2 linked regions of the Oryctolagus cuniculus genome follow. The protein of the gene in region 1 interacts with the protein of each later gene in a biochemical or structural test. Links are inferred from orthologs where the notes say so. Each region holds a gene or a part of one and is shown on either strand. Other genes may lie near its edges.

Evidence for each region.
Region 2: the proteins of NCL (region 1) and ADAP1 form a complex in vitro, tested with the Homo sapiens proteins (2 studies listed by BioGRID). The link is inferred for Oryctolagus cuniculus from reciprocal best matches to the Homo sapiens genes NCL and ADAP1.

The regions. Positions count from the first base shown.
Region 1 is NC_091434.1:7,813,735-7,823,733, forward strand, and holds the start of NCL (nucleolin), read left to right. Parts: upstream 1-4,720; 5' UTR 4,721-4,931; coding exon 4,932-4,949; intron 4,950-5,868; coding exon 5,869-5,985; intron 5,986-6,978; coding exon 6,979-7,483; intron 7,484-7,681; coding exon 7,682-7,894; intron 7,895-7,984; coding exon 7,985-8,071; intron 8,072-8,113; exon of another isoform or gene 8,114-8,182; intron 8,183-8,255; coding exon 8,256-8,397; intron 8,398-9,199; coding exon 9,200-9,324; intron 9,325-9,999. UniProt on the Homo sapiens protein: Nucleolin is the major nucleolar protein of growing eukaryotic cells. It is found associated with intranucleolar chromatin and pre-ribosomal particles. It induces chromatin decondensation by binding to histone H1.
Region 2 is NC_091450.1:36,353,446-36,363,344, forward strand, and holds the end of ADAP1 (arf-GAP with dual PH domain-containing protein 1), read right to left. Parts: intron 8,133-9,899; exon of another isoform or gene 7,801-8,132; intron 7,605-7,800; exon of another isoform or gene 7,531-7,604; coding exon 7,418-7,530; intron 7,136-7,417; coding exon 6,989-7,135; intron 5,853-6,988; coding exon 5,769-5,852; intron 5,676-5,768; coding exon 5,613-5,675; intron 5,363-5,612; coding exon 5,291-5,362; intron 5,196-5,290; coding exon 4,967-5,195; intron 4,784-4,966; coding exon 4,755-4,783; 3' UTR 3,605-4,754; downstream 1-3,604. Other genes in the region: GET4 (Golgi to ER traffic protein 4 homolog), read left to right, coding at 382-520, 2,418-2,558, 2,648-2,723, 2,853-2,925, 3,179-3,267. UniProt on the Homo sapiens protein: GTPase-activating protein for the ADP ribosylation factor family. Binds phosphatidylinositol 3,4,5-trisphosphate (PtdInsP3) and inositol 1,3,4,5-tetrakisphosphate (InsP4). Regulates the incorporation of CD63 and CD9 into multivesicular bodies.

The sequences.
Region 1 (9,999 bases):
TTGACACTTAAGCGTACCGTGGAAAACCCAACAGGAGTCGCTGCCTCCATTCAATAGACCAAGGCCCGTGTGAGCGCACCCACTACAGACCAGACAGGGTCTGATTTCACAATTCCCATCCAACCAAGGCCTCTGGACCTTGCTAGTGCGCCTCCTCACCCCCCAGGGCATTACCTTGTTCAAAGCAGTAATGGGTTCTTCCTCTTTCTTGCTATAGGTAACTTGCTTATCTGCTTCCTAATCACCTTTAAACTCCATCCTTTCACATTGTAGACTGCTTATTAGACTATCCAGCCTTCCTTTCTTTCTTGAAGACAGCTTATCTTTTCAGCAGGCTGGACCGCCTCACTGAGCATCTACTATGCCTGACCTGGGTAAGCGGAAGGCAGAGACGGAGCGGCCTGCCCGCCCTGCCCCCAGAGCCTCCATCCTGTCCACTACACAGATGGGTACACGATGCCCACTGCGGCCTTCATGCTCAGGTCAGGAGGAGGTGGCCCTTCACTCAAGACCCTTTCGTCACTTGATTGCCTGCGACTTCTCTGCTGCCCTTCCAACTCTCCCTCTGCTCATTCCTTCCCCACCTGCCGGTAAGATCCTTCGTGGGGGCCAGTGTCGCCGTGCAGTGGGTGAAGCGCCTATCTGAGGGCCTGGTTTGAGTCCCGGCTCTTCTGCTTCTGATCAGGCTCCCTGCTAATGTGCGGAGGGGAGCGGGCGGACAGATGATATGACAGCACCAAGTACTTGGGTTTCTGCCACCCACTTGGGAGACTGCAATGGAGTTCCCGGCTGCCACCTGGCCCAGCCCTAGCGGTTGGGAAGTTAATAGTAGATAAACATATTTGTCTCTGTTGGTTTTTCAAACAAACAAATAAATCCTACAAAGTATGTAGTTTTGGGGTGTTTAGGGGTGCAGTGGAGTGGGTTGCCTGCACTGTGTATCGGAGTACGGGTTCAAGTCCTGGCTCCTCTGCTTCCACTCCAGCCTCCTGCTAATAAGCGCCTGGGAGCTAGATCACAGCTCAAGCACTCGGCCCCTGCCACCCCTGTGGGAGACTCAGATGCTGCCCCAGGCCCCTGCCACCCTGTGGGAGACTCAGATGCTGTCCCAGGCCCCTGCCACCCTGTGGGAGACTCAGATGCTGTCCCAGGCCCCTGCCACCCCTGTGGGAGACTCAGATGCTGTTCCAGGCTCCTGCCTGTGGCCCGGCCCAGCCCTAGCCGTCATGGGCATTTTGAGAGTGAACCAGAGGATAGAGGAGCCATCTCGGGTGCTCTGCTTTTCATGTAGATGAAAATAAGCATTTTTTAAAGATTTATTTATTTGAAAGGCAGAGTTAGAGAGAGGTAGAGGCAGAAAGCAAGGTCTTCCACCTGCTGGTTCACTCCCTAAACGGCTGCCAACAGCTGAAGCTGAGCCAATCCAAAGCCAGGAGCCGGGAGCCAGGAGCTTCTTCTGGGTCTCCCACGTGGGTGCAGGGGCCCAAGGACCTGGGCCATCTTCCTGCTTTCCCAGGCCATAGCAGAGAGCTGGATGGGAAGTAGAGCAGCTGGGACTTGAACTGGTGCCCATATGGGATGCTGGCACTACAGGCAGCAGCTTTTACCCTCTACTCCATAGCACCAGCCTGCCCCCCCCCCGCCTTTTTTAAAGAATATTAACCCTTCCTCTTAGGCTTATTATGTGCAGTCCAAAAAAAGTAGTTCCTCACTTACTACTCATAAACCCAAAGGCAGATACTGTTGTAATCCTCATTCGACAGCTGAATAAGCCAGGCTAACAGAACCAGGCCTCAACCTGAACCCCACCTCCTCCACTTCCCAGCTCTGAGGTCCTGATTCACCCCTCCTCTGCCAGTTCCTATAAACTGTTAAGAATACTGTAAGGTGGGGCTGGCGGTGCGGTACAGTGTGTAAGGACGCCGCCTGCCGTACTGGCATCTCACATGGGTGCCAGTTCCAGTCCCGGCTGCTCCACTTCTGATCCAGCTCCCTGCTAATGTGTGTGGGAAAGCAGCAGCAGATGGCCGAAGTGCTTGGGCCCCTGCACCCACATGGGAGGCCCAGAAGCAACTCCAGGCTCCTGGCTTCGGATCAGCCCAGCTCCAGCCGATGCGGCCACTGGAGGAGTGAATCAGCAGATGGAACACCTCTCTCTCTGCCTTTGCCTCTAACTCTGCCTTTCAAATAAATAAATAAATCTTTAAAAAAAAAAAGGAATATTGTAAGGTGATTTTGAATAATAAATGAATAAATAAACAGCTGGAACACTGCCTACACTTAACAAGCATTACCATTTTCCACATTTTTAAGGATTTGACAGGCAGGGCAACAGAGAGAGCTGCTGGTTTGCTCCTGAAATGGCCGCACAGCCAGGGCTGGGCCAGGCTGAAGCTGGGAGCTCAGCACTCCCTCGGGGTTTCCCATGCTGGGTGTGGGGGCCAAGTACTCGGGTCACTTCCCGTTGTCTTCCCAGGGAACTGGATCAGAAATGGAGTAGCCAAGCCCTGAGCAGGCACGCTGACACGGGATGCAGGCGTCGCCCACAGTGGCTTAACATGCTGCACACGAGGCCCGCCCCCACCCCTTTTCAAGTCTCCTCCCGTGAGTGCTGTTTCGCTGACTCCACGTGAACACTGCGTGACGTTGGCTCTCTGCTGTTTCTGCTTGAACACTTGGTTCATTCCACAAGTACAGCGTGTGCAAAGCAATGCTTAGGCACCAGGAATACAGCACAGAACCAGATCTGTGTCCCCATGCCTGGGAAGGTGGCGACAGAGCCGTGAGCAGCCCGGAAAAATACCAGGCAGTGACAAGTACCCGCCCGGGACTCAACTAGGGGGTTCAGAGGCACTTTCCACTTAGGGTGCGAAGGGCCCTAAGGAGGTGACAAGGAGCCAGCCAGGCCAACACATTTTTATTTATTTATTTGAGAGGCAGACAGGCAGCGCAATGAGCTCCCATTCACTGGGTGACGCTCCAAACGCACATAACAGCTGGCGTTGGGCTGGGTCAAAGCCGGGCACTCAATCCAGGTCTTCCCCATGTGCAGGAACCCAGGGTCTCGCGGCCAGAGCCAGAGGCTGGGACTAGCTCGCTCCTCTGATGTCGGACACAGGAAACCCACCCAGCTGGCTACACACCTGCTTCTTAAAATCCACCCGGTCCCCTGGTCATGCCCACCAGACATCTCTCCAGCCTCTTTCCACGAGTGCCTGAAGCCCGCTCTGCTTGGAAATCCACAGGGTCCTATCCCACCATGTCTCGGCTCATGCCGTTCCCTCTCCACCCCACCCCTGTCACCCAGATGGGATCCCCCGGCCCCCATTCCCTGCGCTTCGAAGCACGACCCCCTCAGAGCATCAGATAAAGGGGGCAGACCTCTCAACTGGTCTGAGCGCCCCAGTGAGTGGCCTGGGCTTCCTATCGCCGCAGGTGTGCTAGCAAGAACTAAAATAACTCGGCCGCCCCGAAGAATGCTCCTAGGCCTTTAGTGCAAAATCCCAGGTGGGCAGCTGGGGCGCCGCAGGCTGAGCTGCCGCGTGGGCCGGACCGAGTGCCTAGGATGTGGCACCACCTCCACTTCCGACCACATGGGAGACAGCAAGGGACGCTGGAGTCCCGGGGTCCCTGGCCCTCAGCTCCCGGGGAGGCCTGCATGGAGCCCCTGGCTTCGATCCGGCCCAGCCCTGGCTGTTTTGGGCATCTGGGCAGGTCTGCCACTCTGCCTCTCCAACAGAAACAGAGCGACCCCGGGCCCCCCCAGACCTCCTCAACTTTGAACCTTCAGAGGCGACTTTTATCAAAGGTTCTGCTGGGGCAGCTGGTTACCAGAAGCCTGGGGGGCATCCGAGGCCGGCTCCGGTTGGTTCGCTAAGCCTGGCGCCCATCTGAGCCGCCGCAGGAGCACACAACGCCAAGCCCACCTTCCGAGCCCCCGCCCGGGGCGCCGGGTCCACTGCTGGGCCACGTGTGCCGCTGCCCGCCCAGCCGCCACACTGACGGCAGAGGAAGCGCGGCGGGCGGCCCAGGTCCCGCTGCCCACCCCACCATGACCAAGCCCCTCGCGGGCGCGACCTCCAAGCTGCTGGACCGCGGGGACAAACACCTGCCGCGTGGTTACGGGGGACTAACCGAGCGCTTGTGCACGGCTCACAACTCTACCCGCAGCCCTCGGGAGGCACGTGGGCCGGAGGGCGCTCCAGCGGCCAGGGAGTCTGGGGCCCCTGGCTGGCCGGCGGGCCCCCGAAAGGGCCACTCGGAACTTGGCCGAACCTCAACTTCCGGCGCCCTCGGGCTGACCCGCAGGAAACCGCCGCGACCCCTCGCTCCAGAGCCGCAAGCAGGCTCAGCGAGGAGCGCGCACCGGCGCCCTCCCGCGCACACGTCTACCGGACCCGGCTACTTTCTGGAAACCGAGACCACCGCCCCGCGTTCGCTCAGTTCGCCGCGCCACTCGCTCGCTCGCCCCGCGCCAAAAGAGCCCGTCGCATGACGCATGCGCCGGGACGACCGGCCGCGGAGGAACACTCTGCGACCCGCGCACCCCCGGGCCAATCAGCGCCGGCCTTGCACAAAGCAAATCCCGCCTCCAGGACGCGGCCGCCAGACCCCCTTCCCCTCCTTGGCCGCCTGGGCCCGCCCACTCCGGCCCAATCCCCGCCCCACGCCGCGCACAGTTAGCGGCTTGCGATTGGCTCGCGCGACGGACGCGAGCTCTGATTGGTAGAGGAGGAGTCACGAGGGCGCCGTCGTCGCCTTTCCAGAGGCGATTACTGGGCAGGCTCAGTCTTTCGCCTCAGTCTCTAGCTCTCGCTGGCAGCCCGGCGTACGTGCTCCGGCATCTTCAGTCACCCGCGGCCGCCATCGACGCCGCTCGGGTTCCTCTAGGCTCGTCTGCGCCACAGCCGCCGCCGTCGTAAGCCGCCATCATGGTGAAGCTGGCCAAGGTAAGCGCTGAGGGCGCGCGAGCGCGAGCGCCGAGGCCTGCTGCTCAGGAGCGCGCGCGGCGTCGCGGGGAGGAGGGCCTGCGCGCCGTCCCGGGCGCGTTCGAGGGCGCCATGCTGTGGGAAGTCTCGCGCGACTGGCGGGCAGTTCTCGCGTGTCTTGGCTGCTTGGCGGCGAGGTGCGGCGCGCTCCGGCAGGTGCTGAGGGCGGCGTGGAAGGCTGCGGCGCGGGGCGCGGGGCGGCGGGAGGAAGTGAGATCCAACTCGTGCGCCGCGCGCGGGCCGGGCCCCGCCTCCGGCCGCACGTGCGCCGGCTCGCGGCCCGCCACGTGGGCCCCGCCGCGTGGGCCGCGGGGTGGCCGGGGCCCGCCGGCGCGAACCCGCGGCCCTGGCCCAGCTGCCCGGGGCCCCCCGGCCGCCGCCACGTGCGCCGGCCCCGGAAGGAGGCGCCGGGGTGCGTGCACATGGTGGCCGCCGGGCACCCCCACGTGGCCGCGGCCAGGTGAGAGGGGCAGGCCGGTTGGGGTCCGAGGTGGCTTTGTTACTTTTATGCTTTTGCGACGCTGGTGCTGCCCGGAGTTCCGACGAGGGCGCTGGTGGTGTGCGTCGGAGGCTGGGGGGGGTCCTCCCTGGAAGAGTGGCCGCTGGCTACTAAGAAGGGTGCCTGGTGCTAGGGTTGAACCCAGGGGTGAATTAAGTGGTTGAGGGTAAAAAAAGGCAGATGGGTTATTTCATCACCTTGGACTTGTTTTTTAGGTTTTGTCAAGATTGACAGGGAAACTCTGATGGGCCGTACTGTTGGTCAGTTTCAGGATCGGTTATGTTTAATGCTGAAAGTGCGTTGAGGAGGGTGATGGTTGTATTTTATTGTGGGCCGTGGAATCGATGAGGGGTGTTCATGTCCTCATTGTGTGCGTTTTAGGCTGGTAAAAACCAAGGTGAGCCCAAGAAAATGGCTCCTCCTCCCAAGGAGGTAGAAGAAGATAGTGAAGACGAGGAGATGTCGGAAGATGACGAGGATGACAGCAGTGGAGAAGAGGTAACTGGGTCGCGATCGAGGAGAAATTGGGTTGCACTTACACAGTGGACAGAATGGTGTTGGGTGTCTGAAAAGGATATGAAAAGTAGTGTGTTATTCACGTGACCCGGGGTGGGGGGTGCTTAGATGGCAGGAGACCGTTGGGTGAGTACCTGAGTGTGAGCATCTGGGATCTGTGCCCTCTGCACGGCTGGAGTGAGGTTGATACACTTCTCCTGCTCAGCATAAAGGACCAGGTGGATTCTGTCCCCCCCCTGTATGTAAGGTTTGTAGCGATTGGGTGGGTTGAAGGTGCCACCTGAGCATTCACGTTCATTGCTTGCATGGAAAGTCGGTTTTTTAGAATTCAGCAAAGACTTTACTCTTAAGTGAACTATCTGATAAACTAGGAAGTTAATGAAAATAGCTTTGAATAGGAGTTAAAATGTAGGTAAATAATGGTTCTTACAGATACAGTGTTTATTTGATGTGCTGTAATTTGTAAGGGTTGCTCAGCCAATTTAAGGCTGATTTTTATCTCAGGTCCTGTCTCAGGACAAGAATCCTGTACCACTACCCACTGTATGATCCCCAGATGATTTTTAATATTCAGATTTATTTATTTGCAAAGAGAGTTATAGAGAGGCAGAGTTCTCCCATCCACTGGTTCACTCCCCAAGTGGCTGCAACGTCCAGAGCTGGACCTATCCGAAGCCAGGATCTTCTGGGTCTTCACGTGGGTGCAGGGGCCCAAGCGCCTGGGCCATCTTCTGCTTTCCAGGCCACAGCGGAGAGCAGGATGGAAGTAGAGCAGCTGGGGCTTGAATTGGCTCCCATATGGGCTGCCGGCAGCAGTTTTATGTGCTACGCCACAGCACTTTACTTACTGTTGAACCTAACATGTTAACATGGAACATATGCAGTCTTGAACCAGAGGCAGTGCCAGAATCCACCACTGGGACCAGGGCTGCCTTTCGGATGTAGCAGAACTAACTGTTGGTGTTTGCTGTTTAGATAGTCATCCCACAGAAGAAAGGCAAGAAAGCTGCTGCGGCTCCAGCCAAGAAGGCGGTGGCTTCCCCGACAAAAAAGCCTGCGGCTGCCACTCCTGCCAAGAAAGCAGTTGTCACTCCAGGTAAAAAGGGAGCCGCCACCACGCCAGCGAAGAAGGCCGCTACCCCAGCCAAAGCGGTGGTGGCGTCGGGCAAGAAGGGGGCCGCGCTGGGCAAAGCAGTGGTAGCGGCCTCGGGAAAGAAGGGAGCGGTCCTCCCCGCCAAGGGGGCCAAGAATGGTAAGAACGCCAAGAAGGAAGACAGCGACGACGAGGAGGAGGAGGAGGACAGCGAGGAGGACGACGACGACGAGGATGAAGATGACGAGGAGGACGAGGAGGATGAGTTTGAGCCGGCGGTCATGAAGGCAGCAGCGGTGGCCCCCGCCTCCGAGGATGAGGACGAGGAGGACGAGGATGAAGACGACGATGAGGACGAGGACGACGACGAGGAGGACGAGGAAGACGGTAAGGAAGTCATGGTGGCTCCTGGCTCTGGGAGGTTTCCACGTAGCCACGTGGGGTTGGATTAGAGTCCTTCCTGGGGTCCTCTGGGCTCTTCCTGTGGCCTTGAGTGTGGGGGTAGGGCGTTCTTTCCTCCAGAGCATCCCAGAGCCAGAGTTGGTGTGGGAGATCCTTCCAGACTGACTAGACGGCTCCTTTCAGACTCTGAAGAAGAAGCCATGGTGACCACACCAGCCAAAGGGAAGAAAGCGCCGGCGAAAGCTGCCCCCGTAAAGGCGAAGAGCGTGGCTGAGGAGGAGGAGGAGGACGACGACGACGACGAAGAGGATGAGGATGAGGAAGATGACGATGAAGAGGAGGAGGAAGACGAGGACGAGGAGGATGAAGAGGAGGAGGAGGAAGAAGAGGAGGAAGGTAATCTCTACAATGAGCCTGTTTCTCTGTGAACTTGTGAAGCAGCCTTGCGTGTGACTGCTCACAGGTGACACTGTTAACCTTGTCCAGAGCCTGTCAAAGAAGCACCTGGAAAACGGAAGAAGGAAATGACCAAACAGAAGTCAGCTCCAGAAGCCAAGAAGCAGAAAGTGGAAGGTACCTGGGAGAACTGGGGTGTTGGGTGGGGTGACTTCTGATAGCACAAGTGATGAACGACAAGGGGACTTAATGCTGAAGCCTGATGGTACATGTGATACACTGATGTGCTGTGTGGGCATTTTGTACTGGAAGCTGATTTTTTACCATATTTTAGAGACTGATAAGTAATTTTTTTGTACAGCCACAGAACCAACCACATCTTTCAATCTGTTTGTTGGAAACCTGAATTCTAGCAAATCTGCTCCTGAATTAAAAACTGGTATCAGTGATGTTTTTGCTAAAAACGATCTTGCTGTTGTGGATGTCAGAATTGGCACAACCAGGTAGGTGCTTTCCCTTCCTGTTGACATCCATGGGTCTGTTAATAGCTCCTCTAGCTGCCTTCACCTGTGTGGTTTCCTTAAACATAGATGTGTGAACGTGTTCAGTAATTTGACAATGTTGAATGAAGTCATTGGATTTTTAGAATCTAGAACCCCGAAATCCCTAATCAACCCTAATGTTATCGGACAGACTAATTCATAACATTTGGGTAATTTGGTGTTGAGTTCTTAGAAATCCCTTTTAGAAGATTTAATTTATTTGAGAGGTAGTTACAGACAGAAAGGTCTTCCATCTGCTGGATCATTCCCCAAATGACTGCAGCAGCTAGAACTGGGCTAATCAGGAGCTTCTTCCAAGTCTCCCACATGGATGCAGGGGCCCAAGCACTTGGGAAATCTAGTGTTCTCCCAGCTCATAGCAGAGAGCTGGATCAGAAGACCAGCCTGAACTCGGGGATCGAACTGGCACTCAGGTGTGTTTGCCTGCATTATAAGAGAATTAAGATGCCATGCCAGTCCTACTTCTGTCAGCTGTGTAGTCTGAGTGGTTATCAGTGTTTTTGCTGCTACTGTCTTGATTCTTAAATGGGTGTGTCAGCAAGTCTGAGTTGTGACTGGCCCATCCAGAGTTAACTGAACTTGAAAATCATGTCTTGGAACTTCAGTCTGCTCCTCAGCCATTTGTGGAGGCAAGGTGGTGGTTTTTGTCTTGTTTATTTTACTTAATTGCAGTAGTGCCGTTGCTGCTCAGAATACGGTCTGTGCCTTTTCCTCTGAGAAATGTCCCTCTTTCATCTTAAAGGAAGTTTGGCTATGTGGATTTTGAATCTGCTGAGGACCTAGAAAAAGCCTTGGAATTGACTGGTTTGAAAGTCTTTGGCAATGAAATTAAACTGGAGAAACCGAAAGGAAAAGACAGCAAGAAGGGTATGTGTGGCTTTCACAGATGACGGCACCAGCGTGTCCAAGGTAGAAGGGTTGCAAGTTGCCATTCTCATCCAAAATGCTTGGGACCAAAAGAGTCTCCATGCTTCAGGTTTTTCTTTGAAGATTTTGGGATATTTTCCATATATAAACAAATAGCTTGGGGATGAGACCCTATCTTAAACACGTTTTACACACAGCCTGAAGGTAATTTGACATTTTTAGTCTACCTGCGTTTTAACTTCTAAAGGAGGGAGAGACTAGATTCCATTTACTGGGTTATTCCTCAGAGGTTCACGAGTGCTGAGGCCTGGCTGGAGCCACAACCACAATCCAGGCCTTGTACCTGGGTGGTAGGGACCCTGCCGACTGTCATGCAGGGTCTGTATCAAGGAACTGGGGATACCCAGGTACTCCAGAAGGGGTGCAGCTGTCTCAGTGCTAGACCAAGTGCCCAGTGCAGTCCTGACACGATGAGCTGTGGAACTTCCCACTCGAGGTGTGTATTGGGGGCTCAGAAAGTTGGGTGTGTTTTTATTATTAGAGATGCTCAGTGCTCAACCTGAAATAATGGACACGAGCTTGCCTCCACTTGCATCTTTCAGCTCTATTTTTTATATGCTTAGATTGTTTTCTGTTGCTCAAAGGTACTGACCACCTTCTATAGATCGATTTCTC
Region 2 (9,899 bases), on another chromosome or scaffold:
GGCGGGGCACAGGGGGACCAGCTGCCCTGGGGGGGTGGGGCACGGGGACTAGCTGCCCTGGGGGCGGGGCATGGGAACCAGCTGCCCTGGGGGGTGGGGCACAGGGGGACCAGCTGCCCTGGGGGCGGCGCACAGGGGACCAGCTTGCCCTGGACCATCTTGCTGGGGGGGGCGGTGTGCAGGGGGCGTCCGGTGAGGCCCGGGTGTCCTGCCTGGCCGGGTGTGGGCAGCCCGTCCCCTTGTGCCGGCCCTGAGGCCCGGCGTCTACGTGAAGGGGCCGTCTGGGTGTCCAGGGCTCCGTGGGGGTGTGCGTGGTGTAGCCCCCACGAGCGGGCGCGGGGCGGCGAGGGCCTGGGCAGAGACCTCGCTGTCGCCCTGCAGAGCAGAACTACTGCGAGTCGCGGTACCACTTCCTGCACTCGACGGACGGCGAGGGCTGCGCGCACATGCTGGTCGAGTACTCCACCTCCAGGGGCTTCCGCAGCGAGGCCGACATGTTCGTGGCCCAGGCCGTGCTGCAGTAGGTGCTGGGGGCAGGGCGGGAGCTGAGCGCGGCCGTGCCTCCCTGCTCGGGCCTGGCTCGCACCGAGCCCCCGTGGCGGGGTAGCGTGGGCGGCACAGGCCCCCGTGGCGGGGTAGCGTGGGCGGCACAGGCCCCTGTGACAGGGTAGTGTGGACGGCACAGGCCCGTGGTGACAGGGTAGCGTGGGCGGCACAGGCCCCCGTGACGGGGGTAGCGTGGGCGGCACAGGCCCCTGTGACGGGGGTAGTGCGGGCGGCACAGGCCCCTGTGACGGGGGTAGTGTGGACGGCACAGGCCCGTGGTGACAGGGTAGTGTGGACGGCACAGGCCCCCGTGGCGGGGTAGCGTGGGCGGCACAGGCCTGCGGTGATGGGGTAGCGCGGGCGGCACAGGCCCCCATGATGGGTTTGTTTAAAATCTGAGAGGCACCAGTCTTGGCGCCGTGGCACGCGGCGTGGCCACGTTCTCTGCCCCAAGCTCAGGGCACTGCCCGGGGAGCCCTGGGTTGCGCCTGCCATGCCCCATGGAGAGAAGCCAGGGTCCGCTCCCCGCCCAGCCGTGCCGCAGCAGGTGTGCGCCGGCGTGCAGCCATGACTGCACGGGGGGAGGGGGTCTGCTGTGAGCCCCGCCCAGAGCAGGGGCAGTGTGTGGGGGGGTCTGCTGTGAGCCCCAGCCCAGAGCAGGGGCAGTGCAGGGAGGCGGGGTCTGCTGTGAGCCCCCAGCCCAGAGCAGGGGCAGTGCAGGGAGGCGGGGTCTGCTGTGAGCCCCCAGCCCAGAGCAGGGGCAGTGCAGGGAGGCGGGGTCTGCTGTGAGCCCCCAGCCCAGAGCAGGGGCAGTGTGTGTGGGGGGGTCTGCTGTGAGCCCCGCCCAGAGCAGGGGCAGTGTGTGGGGGGGTCTGCTGTGAGCCCCGCCCAGAGCAGGGGCAGTGCAGGGAGGCGGGGTCTGCTGTGAGCCCCAGCCCAGAGCAGGGGCAGTGCAGGGAGGCGGGGTCTGCTGTGAGCCCCGCCCAGAGCAGGGGCAGTGGGGGGGGTCTGCTGTGAGCCCCGCCCAGAGCAGGGGCAGTGCGGGGAGGCGGGGTCTGCTGTGAGCCCCCAGCCCAGAGCAGGGGCAGTGCGGGGAGGCGGGGTCTGCTGTGAGCCCCGCCCAGAGCAGGGGCAGTGGGGGGGGGTCTGCTGTGAGCCCCGCCCAGAGCAGGGGCAGTGCAGGGAGGCGGGGTCTGCTGTGAGCCCCGCCCAGAGCAGGGGCAGTGGGGGGAGGCGGGGTCTGCTGTGAGCCCCCAGCCCAGAGCAGGGGCAGTGCGGGGAGGCGGGGTCTGCTGTGAGCCCCGCCCAGAGCAGGGGCAGTGGGGGGGGTCTGCTGTGAGCCCCGCCCAGAGCAGGGGCAGTGCGGGGAGGCGGGGTCTGCTGTGAGCCCCCAGCCCAGAGCAGGGGCAGTGCGGGGAGGCGGGGTCTGCTGTGAGCCCCGCCCAGAGCAGGGGCAGTGGGGGGGGGTCTGCTGTGAGCCCCGCCCAGAGCAGGGGCAGTGCAGGGAGGCGGGGTCTGCTGTGAGCCCCCAGCCCAGAGCAGGGGCAGTGCGGGGAGGCGGGGTCTGCTGTGAGCCCCGCCCAGAGCAGGGGCAGTGGGGGGGGGTCTGCTGTGAGCCCCGCCCAGAGCAGGGGCAGTGCAGGGAGGCGGGGTCTGCTGTGAGCCCCGCCCAGAGCAGGGGCAGTGGGGGGGGGGTCTGCTGTGAGCCCCGCCCAGAGCAGGGGCAGTGCGGGGAGGCGGGGTCTGTGAGCGGAGGGGTCCCCGCCCAGAGCAGGGGCAGTGCGGGGAGGCGGGGCCTGTGAGCGGAGGGGGGAGGCGGGGCCTGTGAGCGGAGGGGGGGAGGCGGGGCTGTGAGCGGAGGGTCCCCGCAGGTTCCTGTGTCTGAAGAACAAGAGCAGCGCGCTGGTGGTGTTCACGACGTACACGCAGAAGCACCCGTCCATCGAGGGCGGGCCCCCCTTCGTGCAGCCCCTGCTCAACTTCATCTGGTTCCTGCTGCTGGCTGTGGACGGGTGAGCCCGCGGGGGCGGGCCGGGCGGGCGGGGCGGGGCGGGGCTGCGGTCACGGCGGCGCTGGCGTCACGCGGGGCCCTGTCTTTCAGCGGGAAGCTGACGGTGTTCACGGTGCTGTGTGAGCAGTACCAGCCGTCCCTGCGCAGGGACCCCATGTACAACGAGGTGAGGGCCGGCGCCTGGGGGCGGCCTGCTCGGGCCCGCAGCGCCTCGACCGTGTGTCCCGGGCTGGGGGTGGGGGTGGGGGTGGGCGCCCCGGCCGGCACCCCGTGCCTCACGGCCCCCTCCCCGCAGTACCTCGACCGCATAGGCCAGCTCTTCTTCGGGGTGCCGCCCAAGCAGACGTCGTCCTACGGAGGCCTGCTCGGTAAGCCCCCCCCCCCCCCCGTGGCTCCAGGGTGCCCCACGCCGCGGCCGCCCAGGCGCTCCCCGCTGGCCTTTACATTCTGTGTCGCGATCGGGAATCGCGGTTCTCGTGTTCGCCAGGGCCCCGCCTCCCGCGGCCGGGTGGACTTGAGGCCGCTGCGGGCAGGGGCTCCTTCCCGGGGCGAGGCCCTGGCCCTGAGTGGGAGCCTCCGCCCATGGGGCGGCCCTGCTCACGCGCCCGCCGTGCCCTGCAGGGGACCTGCTGAGCAGCCTCATGGGCGCCTCGGAGCAGGAGGACGGCGAGGAGAGCCCCTGCGGCGGCAGCCCCATCGAGCTGGACTGAGCGCGGCCGCCGACGCGGGCACGGGTCGGACGGGCGCCCGCGACGGGGCTCCTCGCGCCGGCGGGCCCTCGGGCCGAGGCTGGCGGCGCCACGCCGGGCGTCTGTATGTGTGTGAGGCGGCCAGGCGGCTCGGGGCCCGTGTCCCCTGCGCTCCCCCAATAAAGCACAGGCCTCGCCGTGGCGCCGCTCTCCCGCTGCCTTGTTTGCCGGCCCGTGGGGAGGGCGCGCGTGTGGGCAGGCGGCCTGCACTCACCGCGCCCGTCCCCGGGCCAGGGCTGCGGCCCCTCCGGCTGTCCCCGCGCCGTCCCGCCACCGCGCAGAGGCCAGCAGGCACCGAGAGGTGTGGACACTTTATTTCTTCACAATTGAAAGGGGGTTGTGGAGGACACGCGGCGGCCGCGTGCGCCGTGCGGGGCGTCGGGGAGCTCTGTCAGCACGCGTGTAAATAAATCCTTTCTACCGGCTCGCAGCGTGGTCCTCTGAGCGCGCGCGCCCGGCCCCGGCGGCCAGGGTCCTCTGAGCGCGCGCGCCCGCCCTGGCGGCCAGGGTCCTCTGAGCGCGTGCGCCCGGCCCCGGCGGCCAGGGTCCTGGGGTGGGGGAGCGAGGGCCCGGGGCCACCCATGGCTGCGGCCGCACAGAGCCGGCCCTTCCTGCCCCCACACCTCGGGACGCCGCGAGACCTCCGACACGCGTGATGTCCTGGGTCCAGACCGGGGTTCCCCACCAGCACAGCCACATCCTGGGCTTCGTATCACGCTTGTCCACGTCCTCCCACGCACTGCCCCCACGCGGGGCTGCCCGTGTGTGCACTCGACACACCTGGGGCCCAGTCTGGCCTGGGCGGTAGTGGACGTGGCACGAGGGGCGGGGCGGGGGCGCAGCTCCCCCCCAGTCGTGCCAGGCAGGGCTGAGAGGGGTCCACCCCGGTCACCTGCAGGGGTGCTCTGTGCAGCTGGGGCACAGGGCGCGCACACCGCGGCCCCCACCGTTGGCCCACCAGCAGCAAGCAGGGAGGGGTGAGCTGGGTGCGGGGCCAGCAGTGAGGGTGGGCGGGCGGGCGGGCACCGGCCATCATCAGCACCAAGTGTCTGGCACGCAGGCCACTGGGTCCCCACAGGCGAGGGCTGGGCAACCCGTCTGCCAAGCCAGGGGCCCGGGGGGTGGGGGCCTCCAGCCAGCAGAGGGTCCCCAGGACCGGGGCTGGGTCAGTGTGGGGACCAGGGCCAACGGCCCAGGCTCCAGGACCACAGCAGGTGCACAATAAATACTTGAGGGGGGGGCGGGGCAGGGGAGGGGCAGAGTCCCAGTGCCAGGCCCACGGGGCCCTGCTCCAAGCCAGGGGTCGCCTGGGCAGTCTGCTCGTGATGCGGCCCAGACCCTACCTGGCCGGGCTCCCTGCGTCCACAGCCCCTCCCTGGTCCAGCCTCCAGCTCCTCAGCCACGTCAGCCACGTGAGTCTGTGGTCCCCAGGTGGGCGGTGCTGCGCGCTAGGGCTTATGCTTGAAGTGGGCTTCCACTAGAAACAGAACGGGCATTGGCCTGGTCCCAGCCACACGGGCAGGGGTGCCCCGCGGGCCTGGCCACACCCCCACCCCACGGACCCCACAGGCCTGGCCACGCCCCCACCCCACGGACCCCACAGGCCTGGCCACGCCCCCACCCCACGGACCCCGCAGGCCTGGCCACGCCCCCGCCTCACCTGCATACTCCTGGGGCAGCATGGGCCTGTCCACCACCTTCTGGAAGGCCTGCACCCACTCCCGCTGGTCCGCCTCCGTCTCACAGGTGAACAGGAACTTGCGGTCGGGCGTGACGATGGTGATGCCATGCGGCCAGTGGTGGCCCTGGGTGGCCGGCGGGAGCCCCCCCAGCACCGTGTAGCCGCTCTCCTTGCTGCCGATGAAGACCTCCCCACGGGCGAAGGCGTCCTGTGGGCGGAGCCAGAGGACAGGGCTGGGCTCGAGCCTGCTTCCCGCCCCCACCCACCTGCCAGGCGCCCCCCCCCCCCGGCCCAGCCCCTCACCAGGGGGTCTTTGAAGTACATGAGCCGGCGGTCGTCCATGGTGAACCAGCGTTTCCGGAAGCCCTCGGTTTGCTGCGGGTCAGGGGCGGTCATGAGGGGGCGGCGCGGCCCAGCCCAGCCCTGCCCTACACACCCTCGGCCCTGCACACCCCCAGCTCGGCCCTGCCCTGCCCTGCCCTGCCCTGTGCACCCCCGGCACTGCATACCCCGGCCCGGCCCTGCCCTGTGCACCCCCAGCCTGGCCCTGCCCTAGCCCAGCCCTGCCCGGCCCTGCCCTGTGCACCCCCGGCAGGGGCTCCCGGGGCCGCCGGCCTGCACCCACCTTGGGCCCCGTCTTCTCCATGTAGCCTTCCTTCAGGTAGTTCCTGGAGAGCTTCGGCACCAGCTAGGACATGAGGGCGGTGAGGGCGGGGCCGGGCCACCCCCCCCCCCGCGCGCCCCCCCCGCCCCGGCCCGCCACACGCCCCCGCCCACTCACGTCTGCGTCGCTGGCCCCGGGGAAGGCCACCTGCAGGTAGTGGAAGCGGGCGGCCCGCAGCGCATTGAACCAGTCCACAATCTCCTAGGGGCCGAGAGCAGGCGCACGGTGGGCTCGGGCGAACGAGGGGGCCGCGGGTGGGGCCCGGGCAGGGGCGCACATGGCCAGGACGTGCCCACCGGGCTGAGGCCAGGAGGCCGCCTGGTTCTCGGGGGCCAGGCCACATGGAGCGAGGCTGTGGCCCAGGGCTGCCCGGGCCCCTCTGGACCCCACCTCTCATCTCCCAGGGCCACACCACGGACCATGACACCCAGCCAGCACTAGGTGGTCCCAACCTGAGGGCCCGGCCAGCCCACCTCTCCTCATCGGCCTCGGCCGCAGGCCCTAGGCGGCCGCCTGCCACACCACCCACCCAGGGGAGAGCAGGTGCCCACCGCCTCCTCCGGACCCTCCAGCCACAGGAAGTCCCCTCCCACCCCTGGCTGCAGGTTGGCTCGGCACTGGGCCACCCAGATGGAGGAGGGAGACCGCACGGCCCGGAGCACCAGGTCCTCCCGGAGTGGGCCTGGGACGGGTGACGGCAGCGTCGCACCGAGGCCGTCTCTGGGCCCTGGCCAGGCCCAGCTCCCCCACACCGGGAGCCAGCTGAGCAGAGACAAGGAAGCTTGGGGGACCCTGAGCCTCGAGAGCTCGCAGAAGCCACGCCGCCGACGGGCACGAGCCCGGGGGACGTCCCCGAGAGCAGAGCGGGAGAGAGGGGAGCCACGGGCCGTGGCCTCTGCCCGAGGAGGGGCTCCCAGGAAGGCCAGGGCGGCGAGGGGCAGGGCTGGGTGCCGCTGTCCAGGGACAGCCTCGGCCGCTCCCGGCGCCCACCCTCCCGCCCGCGGCCTCGGCCCCTCCCGGTGCCCGCCCTCCCGCCCGCGGCCTCGGCTGCTCCCGCCCGGGGCCTCGGCCCCTCCCGGTGCCCGCCCTCCCGCCCGCGGCCTCGGCTGCTCCCGCCCAGGGCCTCGGCCGCTCCCGGCGCCCACCCTCCCGCCCGCGGCCTCGGCCCCTCCCGGTGTCCGCCCTCCCGCCCGCGGCCTCGGCTGCTCCCGCCCAGGGCCTCGGCCGCTCCCGGCGCCCACCCTCCCGCCCGCGGCCTCGGCCCCTCCCGGTGTCCGCCCTCCCGCCCGCGGCCTCGGCTGCTCCCGCCCGGGGCCTCGGCCCCTCCCGGCGCCCACCTTGCCGTCGTCGTGGTACAGGAAGATGTTGCGGGTGCTGTTGTCCTTCAGGTAGGTGAGCTGCAGGCCGTGCGGGTGGCCGATCTTGGCCGGTTGGAAGGTGGCGTTCAGGTGCTCGATCTTCATGACGGCCTTGGGCTCCTTGGCCTGGGGGGGAGGGCAAGGCTGAGGCCGGCGGGGTGGGCACAAGGGGCTGGCGCTCCTCACCGACACCCCCCGGGGTCCCCAGGGCCCCCGATGCGCACTGGCTCGGGGGTCCTGGCTGGCTCTGCTGAGGGGGTGTGGCCACGAGGCCCCCGTGGGCTCTGCACGGCCATAAGGCCGAGGGCAGGCACCCAGGCCGCCACTGCCCGCCCACGATCCGTGGCCCCCAACCCCGTGGGGCGGCCCGACCTTCACACAAGACCCATGCGTGTGTCCCCTGCTCACGTCATTCTTGTTGAAGTACTTCAGGGCCCCCTCCCGCTCCGTCAGCACAAACTTCCGGCTCAGGAACTGCCCGTTGTCCCGGCCGCGTTTCCACAGGAAGCCCTCGCGGTACCCTGGAGGGGCGCACAGACCGAGAGACGCGCTGTGGCCCACGGCAAAGTCCCGCCCACACCCAGGTCCGACCACCGTGAGTGACAGCACCTGGGCGGGATCTCACCCATTGCCCGCCCCTTCCTGACGGAGGCCCCGCCCATGGCCCTGAAGGTCCTAGCTCCCAGACAGGAGCCCCCAGCCCTGTGCAGACGCCTCCAGGACCACTGCCCCATTGCCACTGGGTGGGTGCAGGGCAGGGCCAGGGCCGCACTGACACCCTGCCTCCCCAGGCCCAGGCCGCAGCCACCCACAGCCAGGGCTCCCTCGGGTGGCCTCCGATTACGGCGCACGGTTCGCCGCCTGTGCCAAGGCGTCATCTCCAGCTGGGGGTCCCGAGCCCCTGTGCGCGGTGCCAGTCCCGGCTGCCGCTGCTCCCTGCTGGGGCCCGGGGAGCAGAAGACGACAGCCCGAGTCCCTGGGCCCTGCACCCGCGTGGGGGACCTGGAGGGAGCTCCTGGCTCCTGGCTTCAGCCAGGCCCAGCTCTGGCCGTTGTGGCCATTTGGGGGTGAACCAGCGGATGGAAGCCTAATTCTCTCAAGTAAATAAACCTTTAAAAAGAAGGAGGAGCTGTGTGGCCACCGGAACCAGAGACAGCAAAGGGGCCGCCCGGAGCCTGGGGGGCCATCCCTGCCCCACCCAGCTCAGCCCGGGAACCCAGAGGGGGACGAGGCCAGGGATGAGGCAGGGGACCAGGTGGGGACCCAGCGGGCGAGCAGGCAGGGGGGTCAGGCGGGGGACAAGGCCAGGGGAGCAGGCACGGGGTGAGGTGGGGGACAAGGCCAGGGGACCAGGTAGGGGATGAGGTGGGGACCAGGCGGCCTCTGCCCCACTGATGCAGGACCCGTGCGTCTTCACCCACGGGAGGGGCCGGCTCGGCCCCGTGCCCCTACAGGGCACCCTCTCCCCAGCAGGCAAGCCCTCTGCCGCGTGGGGACCAGGGCCACCATGTCCCCAGCCTAGCAGGGCTCTCCTAGGAGCCCTGTTCTGACCGACGCGCACCGGCCCGGCTCTGCCCGGAAGTCCGTCCACAGGGCTCCTCCCGGCGCCGGGGCCAGCCTTCTGGAGCAAAGCGGGTGACCGGGAGACAGGCTCAGAGGCAAAACAGCAGCCCCAGCTGAGGACCCCAGGGGCTTCTCCACCCAGGCCCACCGCCATGCCCACCGTGCCCAGCAGGTGGCAGCAGCGCCCTGGGAAGCCAGAGCCGGCTTGGGCACAGCGGCCAGGGCTGCGACCGCCTCCGCCGAGGGCCCAGTGGCCAGGCACCCACGCTGGCACCGAGCTCTCGGCCGGGCCCTCACCAGTCCCCAGCCCACGCGAGCCTCACGTCCTTCCTGAGAAAGGAGCGTGGCCGCCCTGGGCTCACCCCACGGCCCCTCGGCATTCCCTGCCCTTGGCCCCAGCGGCCTTGCCACACCCACCACAGCCCTGCCCTCCTGAGGACCAGCCAGCTCCTCCCCAGCGCCACCTGCTGGGCGGCCGAGGGTCAGCCCATGCCAAGGCCCCGCCGGTGGCCTCTGCACACAGCGTCCCTGAGCGGGAACACTTGGTGGACGGCGCTTCCCACGCACCGGGCGTGGGCTGGGGAGTGGCGGGGACCGAGAGAGGCTGTGCACCTGCCCTCCCCCCGCCGCAAACGGGACTCCACCTGGGGGCCCCAGGGACGGCCAGGCAGCCGCGCTGTGGCACAGGGGATGCAGACGGGCCACACAACGTGCACACAGTGACGCAGGCCGCACAGGTGCAACGCGGACGGGCCACAGGCATGCGCATGGTGACGCAGACGGGCCACACACGTGCACACGGCGACACGGACGGGCCACACTCATGCGCACGGCGACACGGACGGGCCACACACGTGCACACGGCGACACGGACGGGCCACACTCATGCGCACGGCAACACGGACCGCACGAGGCAAAGATGCAGGGCAGAAAGCAGGCAGGGCTGCAGGGGCCGGCTGCTCCTGGTGCGATGGACCCTCCCTACATCTTACCGCCCGGGGCTGGGGATGCAAACCCACCCATGTGTGTGGCGACTCCCAATGCCAGCCGAGGCGGCTGTGGGGGCCTGTAGCCCCCGGCGGAGGAGGGACATCCCCATGGAGGCCCCGCCCTGTGGGGGTCCACTCCTCGCTGGGCTCGGCACAGGCCACCTGGAGCCTGAGCTGCCGACACGGCCCCGGGCAGCACGCGCACTGCGACCTCACCGTGAGGCGGCAGGCCTGGTTCCGGGGCGGCCTCTCCCTGGAGCCGACCCCAGCCACACGGGGGCCTGAGCCAGTGCAGGCTCCCGGGAGAGGCCGCTGTGCCGAGCACCAGCCCTGGCGAG